Caenorhabditis elegans: one gene and its partners. The protein of the gene in region 2 interacts with the protein of the main gene of each other region in a pairwise test. Each region holds a gene or a part of one and is shown on either strand. Other genes may lie near its edges.

Region 1 (5,265 bases), on a different chromosome or scaffold from region 2:
TGTTTCTCTTTTTATAGTCATTGTTTCTTTTTGAACCGGTTTCTATTTTTGTAGGATCCCAATGCGTTATTCATGCAATGTTGTGAGCAAAGAGGTCTACCAGATGCATGTCTTCAGAAATGTACATTCAATACTTACACTAAGGAATCGGTAATTTATCAAAACTAATTCAAACATCTTAAATATCAATTTCAGTTAACCCGTATGTACTTCCGTCAAGATTCATGCCCATTAGCTGCTTCTGCCGAAATTCAATTCTGTGCCGCTCAAGGAAGAGATCATCGTGCATGCTGTACAAGAAACGGTGTCACGACTACACTTGCTGGTGACAAATGTTTAACATTCTGTGATCAGAGACCTGGAAACGTGACACTTCTTGACTATTCCTACGTATCTTGCTACGATCGTTTTGAGAATATGAAATCGTGCTTCTGGCATGATGCTGCTGAAAGATCTAGAAAATATTAGAAGAATTTTAGTTTTAAATTTTCAGCCATTGTCTTTGTGTCTGTATAATATATATTTATCGACGCGTTCCCACACGTCATCACCTTCATATTTTAATCCATTCTTTCACAACCAAAAATAAATAAATAAATTACTGAAATACATAAGTAACTACACAAGTATCAGTCTATTTACAAATCAAACGTGTTATAAATTGTTGTAGCTGTTCAACTGACGAAAATTTGAGCGATATCGTCGTGCTCATAGATTCTTTTGGTGAATGTGTCGGTGATCCGTATTCCTGATATGCTTTGAATTCCTACAGTAACCGGGAAAACGTTGAGAGAGAAGTCGACATGTTGTGAAGGAGGAAGTTGTCCGAGAGAGACTCCGGATGGTGAACAGAAAACAAGATGACGATTCGATGGTTGTTCAAGTCGAAGTTGTAGATCAAGTGCTCTTTCTCTGAAAATTAGAAATTACATTCAAATATTTTTAATGAAAATATTATTAACCAGACGAAAAAATTTCGTGATTTTCCACCAAAAATATGGTACCCGATTTTGACACGACAATTTTTTGTTAAATGCGAAAAGGGAGTGCGCCTTTAAAAAGTACTGTAGTTCTTTCGCTTCTTTCGCTGTAACTTTCGTTGCTGTGGAATTTTAATCGATTTTTCAGTTTTTCGCACGGTTTACTAAAATTTATTTTTATTGTTATATTTATTTTTTAATAAATAAATAGATTTTATCAAAATGCTATGTATTCAATAAAAATTTTAGTGCAACTAAATTTTTTTTGTTAGTTATCTTTAGAGGCGCACGCATTTCCGCATTTCACAAACATTTGCCATGTAGAGACCGGTTACGGTATTTTTGTGTCAAAAATCACAAAATTTCGCGTCTGTTAGAATATAATCGACTTACGAGCAATTGTAAAGTCTGCAAGACACTTCAAAAGGTTTCTGAACATCTACGCATGCTGGCGTCTTCTCGACAGAAAGTCGAACATCTCCATATCCAGGTGCCTAAACTCGTTTCAATATGTTCTATCAAAAGAAGTGAAACTTACAATTCTTTGAAGAGCACTAGTTTGGAGCCGTCCCTTCTCTCCCATGCTCGTTCTCCATGACATATCCAACTTTCCAATACTTGTCAAATCTTTATATCCAAGTGTGTTATGAACATCGGCTGGTGTTAGACAGAACAAAAACTGACGAATGTCTTTTGGTTTCAGAAGTTTTCCAACATCGCCAAATTCATCCCTATAAATATTTTTAAAAAATATAAATACTATATATTACGGTCCTAAAAATTCTGAAATGCGTATTGCGCAACATACTTGACACGCAAAATATCTCGTAGCGAAAACTACAGTAATTCTTTAGATGCCTACTGTAGCGCTCATGTCGATTTACGGGCTAGATTTCGAAACGAATTTCTGTTCGAATAGTGACAGCGATAATCCATTTTTCTTCGTTTTTTCGTATTATTTTCTTTAATTTCAATATTTGTTCGATAAATAAATTTTCGGAAATCGACACAAGCGCTATAGTAGACATTTAAAAAGTTACTGTAGTTTTCGCTAAAAGATATTTTGCGCAATAATTATACTCAGAATTTTGTATTCCCGTAATATGTAGTACGTACTCATGAGCGATACTAGTAACATTATAATGTTGACTTGGATCCAACTCGACTTTTTCCAGGAACATATTCGCATTTGATGTATTTTCAATTTGGGCTTCGAGGTAGACATCTTGATTCTGAAAGAAACATAATTTAGACAAAAATAAAATATTTTAAAGTTCTCACCGCATTGTCCTAAAGAAAACGACATTTATACACAGCACTCGGTTGGACGAAACATGCAAAATTGACCAAATAAAATTAATATTTATTACAAAATCTCACACACCTCGGCACTGTAAAACTTTGTTTTCACATCAATCGGTTTCGATACTGGAAATTTGAAAAATTTCCGGAAATACATGTTCTCGCCGTTCGATGTTTTGTAGTTGACCGAGCATATCAGTCTAAAAAAGAACAAAGTTAATGCAAAGGTGTCATGGCAACGGGGGGAAGATTTTGAGAAAATGGAGGAAAACCAGAGAGAGATTAAACAGGAAAACTTACATATGTTGCCCGATTTCTTTCACTTCGTGACTGATGACCTGTCCTTCACATTTTGAAGATTCGATTGTTGCGTCTTGAACGGAACATGGAAGAACAACTCGTTGAGTTGATGTTTGAAGCTCACACTGAAACAAATCTTTTTTAAAAAGGAATATTGATGGGGTCTTTGAAAATTGATAATTGTTACATGTTAAATACCTGGAATTTTGGAAATTCACTTTTTCACAACTAAGAAAGCTGAAACTGCAAATCTGGAGTGAAATTAATTTGCTCATATTACCCAGATGCGCATTTTGTATCGAAAATAGAGTGGCCGGTCCCGACACGACAAATTTTAGTTAATTGCGAAAAGGGAGCGCGCCTTTCAGGAGTACTGTGGTTTCAAAATTTTGTTGCTGTGGAATTTGTATCGATTTTTCAACGTTTTTCTCTATTTGGTGAAATTTGAATTATTTTATCATTAATTTGAGTTTTCGTTTTAATATAAAAAAACTATGAAAATCGATAAATTCCGCAGCAACCAGTTTGAATTTCCAGTGAGCGAAGAAATTTAATTTTTTTTTACTTTTTATCTTAAAAAATGAGTCCATTTACTTACTTTTAGGCTCACACTAGAGACAGTCTTCTCGCTTTCGTTTACAACATTTACATAGAAAGTAAACGTCTCTCCCAGATAGATATTTCTGAAACGAAACGGTTTTTTAAACAGCGCCTTGATCAATCGACTCACTCGAACATTTGTGGTGCAATCAAATATTCGCCGATTGGAAGATCTTGTCGAGATTCTTTCGATATTTCTGAAACTTTTCCAGCGAGAAGTTCACCGAATCCTGTAGGATCGACGGGATCGTGGGAGAAACCATCGACAGGAGCAAATTTTGGACGAGCCAATCTCATAACTAAAATCGAAGCTATGATTGATTAATGATGAGAACTAAAATTACCCCGCAGAGCAAGAAGCTGTTGTGAAGAAGAACTTGCAGGATTGTCAGCCATTGTCCTGATTTATAAATAATTAGCTTTCCGCCGGGATGAAATCACAGTATAACTTTTCGGAATTTCTAACCTTACAAAATATTCTTTCGAGCTGGAATATTTGTGCAACTTTTATTGAGTTTAACAAAATGGAAGTCAGTGGAAAACTACCCAAAATAACGGAAAATAAACACCGAGGAACAGATATTACTAGAAGGATCCCCGGAACCCCTAAGAATTCAAAATCATCGGAACGTAGAAAGCTTGCTTTAAATACATAGCTAACATTTATTAGCCATTTGAGGATCGGGAATAAATTTGTATACAAAACAAGTATAACAACGAACACTAATGGGGGCGGAAAAAAAGGTGACAGAGCAAGTATTTTTTTAAAGAGATTCATTGAAATCGATCAACAGTAACAAGAAAAATGGGATATACTAATGCGGATGCTATCCGTACCGTTCATCTCACAAAACTCGCGAATTGGTCGATGAAAGGGTAGTGATTTATTGCTCATCGGCTTTCGTCTCGTTCTTTGAGGCGGCGTCGAAGTCTCCAACAAGTTCTGAAAAATGAACCTGTTATTTAAAAAAAATCTTTTATGATTTTCCAACCTGGCACATCTTCGTCCTCTCCCTTTCCATCTGGTCCGAGCTTGGTAACGTTGTTGGCAAGTTTCTTGAGGTGGGTGAGGGACTCTGGACCGAGTTGGTTGAGGATTCCTGGGAGCATTTCAGTGATCTCTGCAAAATATGTAAGGTTAAAAACATTCAGCCAATGAGCAATACTTACGCTTGTTATCGGCTGATCCTGTGACAGAGAAGGTATTGGCTGGAACAGAGGTTTGGACTTTTGGGTTGTTGAAGTGGATAACGGTTCCATCGTCCTTAATCATGTTGACCTGAAAAGTTACAGAAATTAAATTAATACTTTAAATCAAAGTTTACCTCCTCGATTCCTGGAATGTTGGTGACAGAGAGTTTCTTCAAGTTGCTTTGAAGCTTCTTGTCATCGGCAGCAGCGGTCTTGTGGATGACCTTCTTCTTTCTGCGTGGAGTTCCCTGAAAGAAATAGGAGAGATAAAATTATAAATTTAAATATTTACCTTTCCTCCAATTCTGACATGCTCCTGTTGAGCTTGGAGCTTCTTGATTCTCTCCGCAATAGCCTTGCTATCCATTTTTGGAAGGATTACCTGAAGACGAAAAATATAATTAAAGACGTGAAAACGTGAGAACAAAAAGGATAAAGCCAGTTAAGAATATTTATTCCTAAAATAACAAAGGGACGGGGAAAATGCGGACAAACGCGAAAAACGGAAATGTAAGTTTATCAATCGAATCAGTTTTAGCCTAAATTCAGGCACGGAAACGAATACACCTACGAGATCGACAGAAAATTATGAAAATGGTGTAAACAATAATGAAATAGAATCTAAAAAGATAGAAAGAAGTCAAAAACAATGAAATTCAGAAAAAATCACCGAAACGGTAGAAAATTTTTTCGCGAGACCCGAACATTCCGTGCGTATGTGCCCCTTGCTTTAAAATTTCTTGATATAGGGGTAAGGGGCACATACGCAGAATCTGGCTTGCTGCCAGTCGTTTTCCTCTCACCCTCTCTGTCTCGTCGTTTCTCATACTCCTTTCTTTCTCTATTTCTCTATATCTCGCTTCATCATTAAAATGTCAAAGCTATTTCGCAA
Region 2 (3,365 bases):
CAGGAGAGATACGAAAATCAACGAGAAGAGTTAATAATAACGTAAATAAATTAGAGATCCAAATAGTTTACTGCTGCTGGGCATGAGCTTGAAGTTCATTTGAAAGAGCCATATTTAGTTCCTCCAGTTTTCTCTTCAAGATTCCGATTCCCATTGTCACGATTCGCTGTGCTGGAAGAGCACCAGTTCCTTCGACTGAAACATTTAAAATTATAAGCAAAATATCTGACCGTGACTTACTAGAGAACCAGAACTTGTTAGGCTTGTTGTCCGGCTCGAATGGTGCCTCCTTTTCAGTGCTGTCTTCTGGTAAAGATGAATGATCGCTTCTGCAAAAAAAATGTACGAAATTCACAAAATACTGATAATAGTTCTTACCTTGGCCATTCCTCAACATTCGGATAAATTGTATGTCGGAGAGCATTGTCTGGATCATATTCAAATGCAACTCCACAGGTGGGATTCCATTTTGCATGTTCCTTTCCGAAACCCTTTTTAACATAGGCTTTTAGGTTAAGCTCTTGTCCCTTACGCAATTTTACAATCAGAATCTCTTCTCTGTTGTGAAATTCGTCACGGGTCGATCCACGCTCACGTAGTGCTTTTCCACAAGCTGGTCGGACGGTCTGTAAAATTCCAATTCAAATATTTATCAAATGTAGTGAAGTACGGACCCTAATAAGATTGCTCATCGATTTTATTTAAACGTTATTAATATTATTATTGAAATTTAATTCACTCCATTAAAAAAAAATGAGTTGCATTTTTTTAAATTTACCGTGTCTAAATTATGCATTGGCATTAGATGCTCGGTAGTAACAGCCAAAGTAGCTTCATCTTTACATTTCATCTGCAGAATGAACGGTATCGAACACTCATCGCAGAACTCGGCACATTCACAATCCTAAAACCAACATTTAAAAAGTTGTGAAAGATTCAACCCTATCTTACTCTGGTGTATTGCATTTTTTCGACATGATAATCAGATATGAACGGAATCAAACCCATGCGATGTGCAATAAATTCGTCGTGGAGGACAGAAGTGTTAGTTTCAATTTGAACCCAATCAATAGCTATGGTTGGCACCTGAAATGTAATTAAAAATATAGAAAGAGTAATGGTAAACAGGAAACAACTCACTTCTGCCATGAAAACTCGTCTCAGTGAATTTGCGACACTCAAATCAGTGTCCCACAGTACAAACTTGATTATATCATTTGTCAGTTCGGTAACCTCGATGTTAGGTTGATTTGCGTACGGCATTACTAAAAATGATTATTATAAGGAAAAATGAAAAATCTAATTATTGAATTGAAAACATTTAAGTCGAACAGAAATTCAAAACAAAACGTCGCTAAACAACACGCACATTCGTTATTTCGGAGTGTCGTTTCAGGTTCTCGGTTGGTAAGCGAAGTACGGTAACACTCATTTCAACTGTGCGCTTTTGTCACTGCACAATTTCAAATAATCATTTTTTAATTATTTTTTCGTTTTAAAGTTAAAAATGGTTCAGAGTTATTTCAAATTTTAAAATTTTTCAGATGAACAGATACGATCGTGCTATCACTATCTTCTCCCCTGATGGACACTTGTTCCAAGTGGAATATGCCCAGGAAGCTGTCAAGAAGGGTTCGACTGCGGTGAGTGGTTCCCCTGATGAAAATCAGTTGGCAGAAAATTATATGAGTTGCACTTTCATATGAATATGATATCAGCTAGAATTGAAGCACCCGATTCAAGAAGATTTTAGATCTATTTATCGTTTTATATTTAAAAATAAATCAAAAAATTCAATGTAGATGATTGATATTATCTATCTAAAAATCTAAAATTTCCCGAATTATGGTTCAAAATAATACGGTTATTTTTAAAACCTCAAGTTATAATTATGAATGTTTCAGGTCGGTGTTCGCGGAAAGGATTGCATTGTTATCGGTGTTGAGAAGAAGTCAATTCCAGCTCTTCAAGATGACCGCACAATCCGTAAAATTCATATGATCGACGACCATGTGATGCTCGCTTTTGCTGGATTGTCCGCAGATGCTCGTGTTCTTGTTGATCGTGCTCGTATCGAGTGCCAGTCGTACAAGTTGACTCTTGAAGATCCAGTTACCGTTGCCTATATCTCCAGATATATTGCAAACACGAAGCAGGTATAAATATTTTATTTATGCAAGCATAACTTTTACTGATTTTCAGCGCTTCACACAATCTCCAGGACGTCGCCCATTCGGAATTTCAATGCTCATTGGAGGATTCGATCATGACGGAACTCCACGTCTTTTCAAAACCGAGCCATCTGGAGCTTACTACGAGTACGTTGCCAACGCGACTGGAAGAGGAGAGAAACCAGTGCGTGAATACCTTGAGGAGCAATACAGCGAGGAAAATACTGTCGACGAAGCTACCACTCTTAAATTGGTTGTAAAGTCGCTGGCTCAGGTCGTACCACCAGGATCACAAAATATCGAGATTGCAGTCATGAAAAAAGTTAATGTAAGTGATTTCCACCTGAGATTATTTTCAGTAATAACATTTTTTTAAATTGAAGATGGTCCTTAATTTTAATTTTTTAGGATGAGCTGCAGCAACGTGTATTGTCAACTGAAGAAATCGAGGCTCTCCTGAAGGTTGTTGAGACAGAACGTGTGGCTGCTGAGGCTGAAGAGGCTGCATCCAAGAAGAAGTAGATTCGAACTTTTGTCTTCTGTCCATTATCCGTGTGTATTGATTTCCCAGTTATCTGCTCCCCTTTTCAAAACCTAATTTATTTTATTCATCTTTATTGACGGGAATGAAAAAGTTTTCCCTAAAATCTTCGAAATTCCTTTAAAACCATGAAAAGAAAGAAGCTATATATTCGAAATGACAAGATAATTGTGGGGTTCATTTGAAAAAAAGAGAAAAATATATATAAAGAAAATTCCAATTCGGCGAGCAATGGTTTCTGAAACTTCTAGCTTTCTGAAATATGGTATCCTTAAATGAGATTTGTTTTATAAGTTAACCTACATTTTCGAATAGAACGCATAATCTCTGCAATAATAATCACAGTCATTTTTTTTCCTGAAGTTCATTTTTCATTCAAAATTCTTCGATGAACCGATTGAAGTGGCAGTGGTTATGCAAATTGTTCTATACATTTCCTCTCCCAAGCAGAGGACCTTTTCGGTGAAATTCCGAATAAAAGTGAGCGGTACAAAAAGAGGGAAAGGAGGCAAATTTGAATATATTTCATTTATAAGCCTTCAAAAGTCTCCTCCTAGACTTACAAGATGCCATTGCCCTACGGCTACTTTTTTTTTCAAATATTAGATCTATTAATTTTATTAGATCTATTAATAAGATCTAATTTTTATATA
Region 3 (4,849 bases), on a different chromosome or scaffold from region 2:
TATATGTTCAAACTTTTTTTCCAACTATAAAAGTGAAAAGAGCTATAAAAAATGCTAAAGTACTTAAGGGCACTGAAATCTTTTTAAAGTTGGAGTTGAACATCATCTGAGCCGATGATCTCTGAGATCAATAAATTTAATTCATGTTGATGCTAACAGTTCCAATAAATGAACACCATGAAACAATTTTTATAGATTTTGTGCTCAAATTTGAAGTGAGCAACAGTTTTCTGCGCAGTAAAATTTTCACTGTTGACCCAAAACTATTTTTTAAACAGTTATTATTGATTCTTTTTAATTTATATTTAAGTAATATGCGACTCTACAAATTGTGGCTGGAAATATAGTAGAAAATCTCGAACAGAGCCAAAAATTGCACGGGACTGCAATTTCACAACAAAAACTTTTTACTATGGGACTAACATTTCATTTTAATTTTAGCTCATGTTTCACAACACATTGAAACAGTAAAAATTTGAAATTTTCAAATTATTGAAACCTTGAGAACTATGAGAGGAGCGCTGGAAAAACTTTTATATAGACAGCTGAAATGTTTTTTTTTCAGAATTGAAATACATAAGTTAATAGAAAAGTCAACAAAATATAACAATTTCAAAAACAAATTATTCCATTTCCACTTCCTCTTCGTCATTGAAAATTTCTGATTTTATACTTCCTTCTGGGTTTTCTTCGTTTACCTGATAGTTACACATCATTTCTGAGCCATTTGGGAAAATTAGTCGGGATCTGAAAAAAATTATCGATTTTTATAAAACTCAATGAAATCACAAACTCTTTGAGCTCTCCATCCTCCTTGCGGAGTTGCTCTCGGAGCCATCTTGTGGCATCTTCACTTGCTTCGTTTCCATACATTTTGTTGTGGCGGCCTCTCACACGGTCTCTGAAAAATAAATTTAGTACTGAGCCCTGAGACAGTAAAACTCACAACTTATTGCCCATAACGTCGGTGACCAGCTTCCTCACTCGAAACTTCAGGTCTCGCGATTGTTCTTCGCCGAACCCACCGAGTATGTACTCTGGAAGAGGAACATGGTTTTTTTAATATTAAATTTCCTACTGTTTCAAAGAATTTATAAATTTTTGGTGAAACGTGTGGAAAACTAACCAGCAAACCCTTCGAAAAAGTCCCTAGCGATGGGAATATATGTAGAAGCGTTTTGTGAAGTTGCGTAGCACATCATATGGGGGTCCGCAATGGCAACCTTAAATTTTTGGAGTTTACGCAAGATTCTATAAAGTCTACGCAAGACTCCACTAAGCATACCTTATCGAAAACCGTTCTCGCCAGAGCTCTCACAAGAGTCACCAAGTTAGCCGTCGACCAATTCGACACATCTCCATCCGTCACAACATCGGAAATCATGAACCATTTCCTGCTGGGCAACGTCAAAGCTCTGTCAAACTTCTCGGCTGAGTCAATTGAGAATGCCTTGTTCGTTGTGATCGGTTCCGTGATTTTCTCCGCTTTTCGAGAAATCTTCCTGTGCTGCTTGTTTGCCTGAAAGCGAATTTTTTTTAATTTTCGAAACTTTTGGAAATTGCTCACCATCGCCGTAGTGAAAGCCATTCCAAGTGCCATTTCCTCCATCAAATTCTGATTTTGTGTTCGACACCGCTTGGCGAAATTGAGCCATTCGTAGTAGTCAACATCACGGTCATTTTTGATGAGTTTCTCCAGGTTTTTCTGAAAAATTTGAAGATTTATTTGGCAGGGCTAAGGTCTTGACTACAATGATGTACTGTAAGCAACTGACATCTTACGAGTTAGACTGCAAATTCCGTGGTGGGCCCGTAAAATGTCGGCTGCTAGCAACAGCAGTTTTAAAAGAGTCCACGGGTAATATTTTGTTCCTATAAACAAGCCGACATTTCACGAGTCTCAACATTCAATATTGTTCTAACTGGGCCATTGTGGTGTCGGCTGCTATCAAATTTCAAGCACTTGGATTTCAGCTCCCGACACTTTGCGAGTTTCTTTAACAATACTGTAAAGCACCGACTTCTGCTTCCGTTCGTTCGTTTTAATGTCGGCTGCTAGCAAAAGCAGTTTTAGAGGAGTTCGCGGTGAGATTTTGTTTCTACAAGCAAACCGACATTTCACAAGTCTCGCCATGCAAACTCGTTATTCTAACTAGGCCCGTGCAATGTTGGCTGCTATCAGATTTCAATCGTCTGAACTTCAGCGCCCGACACTATACGAGTTGCTCTAGAAATAATCCCCTCAAAACCTACCTCACAAGTCTTCCGATCCAATGGTTCCCCTTTCGCATAATCGTACAATTCGGAAGCAGCGAATCCAATCGGCAACCACATCCCATGCTTAGAGGCCTGAAGAAGGGGTGCCGAAGATGTTTGAGCAATTGGAGATGAGCTGTACTCTATCGGAAGGGTCTTACGACGAACCATCCCATCTCCATCCAACCAATCACGACAGAACTGCTTGGTGGATCCTTCAGACGTATTGGTCCATTCGACAGTGATACGGTCATTTGTGGTATCTACTTGTCCGAATGCAAAAGCATCGCAGGAAATTGTTAGAAGAATCTCCTCACTTGGATCGAGTACTCCACAATTTGGAGTGCACATCGTATCAACTCTGAGTCTTTTCATATATGTATTGATTCCATAAGCAATACGAAGAGCCGAAGTATTGATTAATTTGATTTTAGATTCTTGGTTTTCATTGTACGGAGCATTGAAGATGATTTTGCTCGGTTGGAAGTCAATTTCTCCTGGTGGAAGGGATTGAGCCATCACGGGGGAAAATTCTCGGGGTCTTTTAGGCTCAAAATCCTGGTAAACCTTATGTTCGACTGGAGCAACTAGAAGATCTTCCGGTTTTTGTTCGCATAGGAGTGGATACGGAGCAGGTCTTTTTGAAGCTCGGCGGGACATCTGAAAATTGAATTTTTTTTAGATTTTGAGCGTTCAAATAAAATTCAAAAAATCAATAGTGATAATCGACGTGGTGTCAGGTACACACATTCGGTTTGATCTACGAAAAATGCGGGAATATTTATTCATAAAAATTGTGACGTAAGCACGCTCTAAACCATGCAAAATCAGATGATATGTCTGCGTCGCTGCTCCCACATTTTTTGAAGGTCAAAGCAAAATGGGACTTTCTGACTAGCACTCGTTTTTTTTAAATTAAAAAAAAGATTTGAATTAAAAAACCGCGAATTTTCAAAATTAGTGAATAACAATATAAAATTCACGAGAAACAAGAAACAACACAAAATAAAAACCGATAAAATCGAAAACGTCACCGCACGGGAAGCATTGTTTGCGCGCAATGCCTCCCGCCGCGAGTTGAGAGACCGAATTAGTGTGAGAGACGCAGGTGGTGGTAAGAGAAATGACGAGAGACGCAGAGAAAAGGAACGTTTCAGGACAACGGACGTTGGTTTACGAGAGGGGGGTTTGGAGCGTTTTTAGTGTTTATTGATTGGTTTTGATTAGAATTTTGAATTTTTCGAGCGTTTGCCCCACAACAAAGAGATGGCAAATATTAAAAAAAAACTGTTAACTGTTAGAGAAAACATCTACTGTTTAAACAACTAAGCATAAAAGAAAAATTAAAATAAAAAATTAATTAATTGAAAATACTGTTTCAAGTTTGTATTTAATATTGATGTAACTTTTTTAAAATGCTGGGGAAAATAAAAATAATTTCACTTTTTCAACTGCAAATCATAGCTCCAAGAACAACTTGACATATTATTGGACTGATAATCTGTTGTTTCGGGAACATTTGTTAACGTTTATTTTTTCAAAGATAATTCCCTATAAATGATTTTTAATGAAAGAAAAACGCGGAAATCCTATAATTTGTTTTGCATTTCGAGAATTGAAATTACAGTTTCAAGTAGACTTAAAATTACTAGATAAATTTGATCATTCAATAATGCTTTTAAGTTTGTCGAAATTTCGAAGAAAAAAAATTTGTGAAACTGCTTAAATTTTCAGAAATTAATATTATAAAACTGACTAGTTTCATTATTGTTCGTGTATTGGAAATATTTGAAAATTAGCTTTTACTGCACTGATTTATATCTCATATAGGTGAGTGAAACTCGGTAGATGTCGGGCGCTCATATTTCGTTAGCGTTAGGCGTTCTTGAGAAACCCCACAAGTAATGTGGAATAATGTGTTGATTATCGGGTTTTTTTTTCACTGTTAAAACGACTGGAAAGGTCGAAGGATCTATCTACTAAAAATAGTTACTCAAGTTTTTCTTTTGAAAACCAGTTGAAACATCTCTGACAAAATTCAGATTTCTTTTCTCAAAAAAGTGATTTGAAATTTATAAAATAATTGATATTTCTAGAACACATTAAACAACTTTATGAAACTGTTTTTGGTGTAAAATCATTTTAAATGAAGGAAAAACGGAAAAATCATATAATTTTTTACGTTTCGAGAATTGAAATTACTGTTTCAAGTAAGAAATAAGATTTCAAGAAAAGTTTACTTATTCAATAGTAATTTAATGATATGACAGTAATTTAATTCAATGAAAAAAATTGAACCATTTTCCTTCAAAAATTATCAAACTTTTCCACAGTTTTCGAACTTAAACTACTGCGAAGCCTAGCGCGCTTGACGCGCTAATCTACCGTTCTAACTTTATAAAATTCATAATCAGTAAAATTTATGAAATAATCAAAATTTTAAAGAATAAGTATTTTAAAATGTTATATTAGATACCTTATCTGCTATTCAAAAGAATGAATTGAAATATAAATAAAACGCTCCCAAATATTTTAAATGCCATCTGCATTTCGATCAATCTAGCAACAGTTTAGGAAGTTGTTTTTTATTCAT

The links. Proteins that work in one complex are often made in the same cells at the same time.
Region 1: the proteins of pas-4 (region 2) and C56C10.7 interact in a two-hybrid assay, tested with the Caenorhabditis elegans proteins (3 studies listed by BioGRID).
Region 3: the proteins of pas-4 (region 2) and Y105C5B.19 interact in a two-hybrid assay, tested with the Caenorhabditis elegans proteins (2 studies listed by BioGRID).

Annotation. Positions count from the first base shown.
Region 1 is NC_003280.10:6,583,901-6,589,165, forward strand, and holds C56C10.7 (putative trafficking protein particle complex subunit 13 homolog), read right to left. Parts: upstream 3,670-5,265; 5' UTR 3,579-3,669; coding exon 3,527-3,578; intron 3,482-3,526; coding exon 3,313-3,481; intron 3,266-3,312; coding exon 3,181-3,265; intron 2,856-3,180; exon of another isoform or gene 2,781-2,855; intron 2,708-2,780; coding exon 2,583-2,707; intron 2,483-2,582; coding exon 2,365-2,482; intron 2,315-2,364; exon of another isoform or gene 2,271-2,314; coding exon 2,262-2,270; intron 2,213-2,261; coding exon 2,097-2,212; intron 1,712-2,096; coding exon 1,519-1,711; intron 1,475-1,518; coding exon 1,374-1,474; intron 913-1,373; coding exon 675-912; 3' UTR 521-674; downstream 1-520. Other genes in the region: dbd-7 (DB domain-containing protein), read left to right, coding at 55-150, 196-468; icd-1 (Transcription factor BTF3 homolog), read right to left, coding at 4,067-4,125, 4,175-4,303, 4,353-4,461, 4,508-4,621, 4,666-4,740.
Region 2 is NC_003279.8:8,726,667-8,730,031, reverse strand, and holds pas-4 (Proteasome subunit alpha type-7), read left to right. Parts: upstream 1-1,544; coding exon 1,545-1,643; intron 1,644-1,904; coding exon 1,905-2,156; intron 2,157-2,202; coding exon 2,203-2,499; intron 2,500-2,579; coding exon 2,580-2,693; 3' UTR 2,694-2,814; downstream 2,815-3,365. Other genes in the region: rpb-3 (DNA-directed RNA polymerase RpoA/D/Rpb3-type domain-containing protein), read right to left, coding at 68-195, 241-329, 379-626, 779-904, 952-1,086, 1,141-1,263. UniProt on the Caenorhabditis elegans protein: The proteasome is a multicatalytic proteinase complex which is characterized by its ability to cleave peptides with Arg, Phe, Tyr, Leu, and Glu adjacent to the leaving group at neutral or slightly basic pH.
Region 3 is NC_003282.8:15,981,055-15,985,903, forward strand, and holds Y105C5B.19 (Major sperm protein), read right to left. Parts: upstream 2,917-4,849; coding exon 2,254-2,916; intron 1,706-2,253; coding exon 1,568-1,705; intron 1,520-1,567; coding exon 1,286-1,519; intron 1,224-1,285; coding exon 1,127-1,223; exon of another isoform or gene 1,123-1,126; intron 1,038-1,122; coding exon 947-1,037; intron 902-946; coding exon 794-901; intron 748-793; coding exon 624-747; 3' UTR 521-623; downstream 1-520.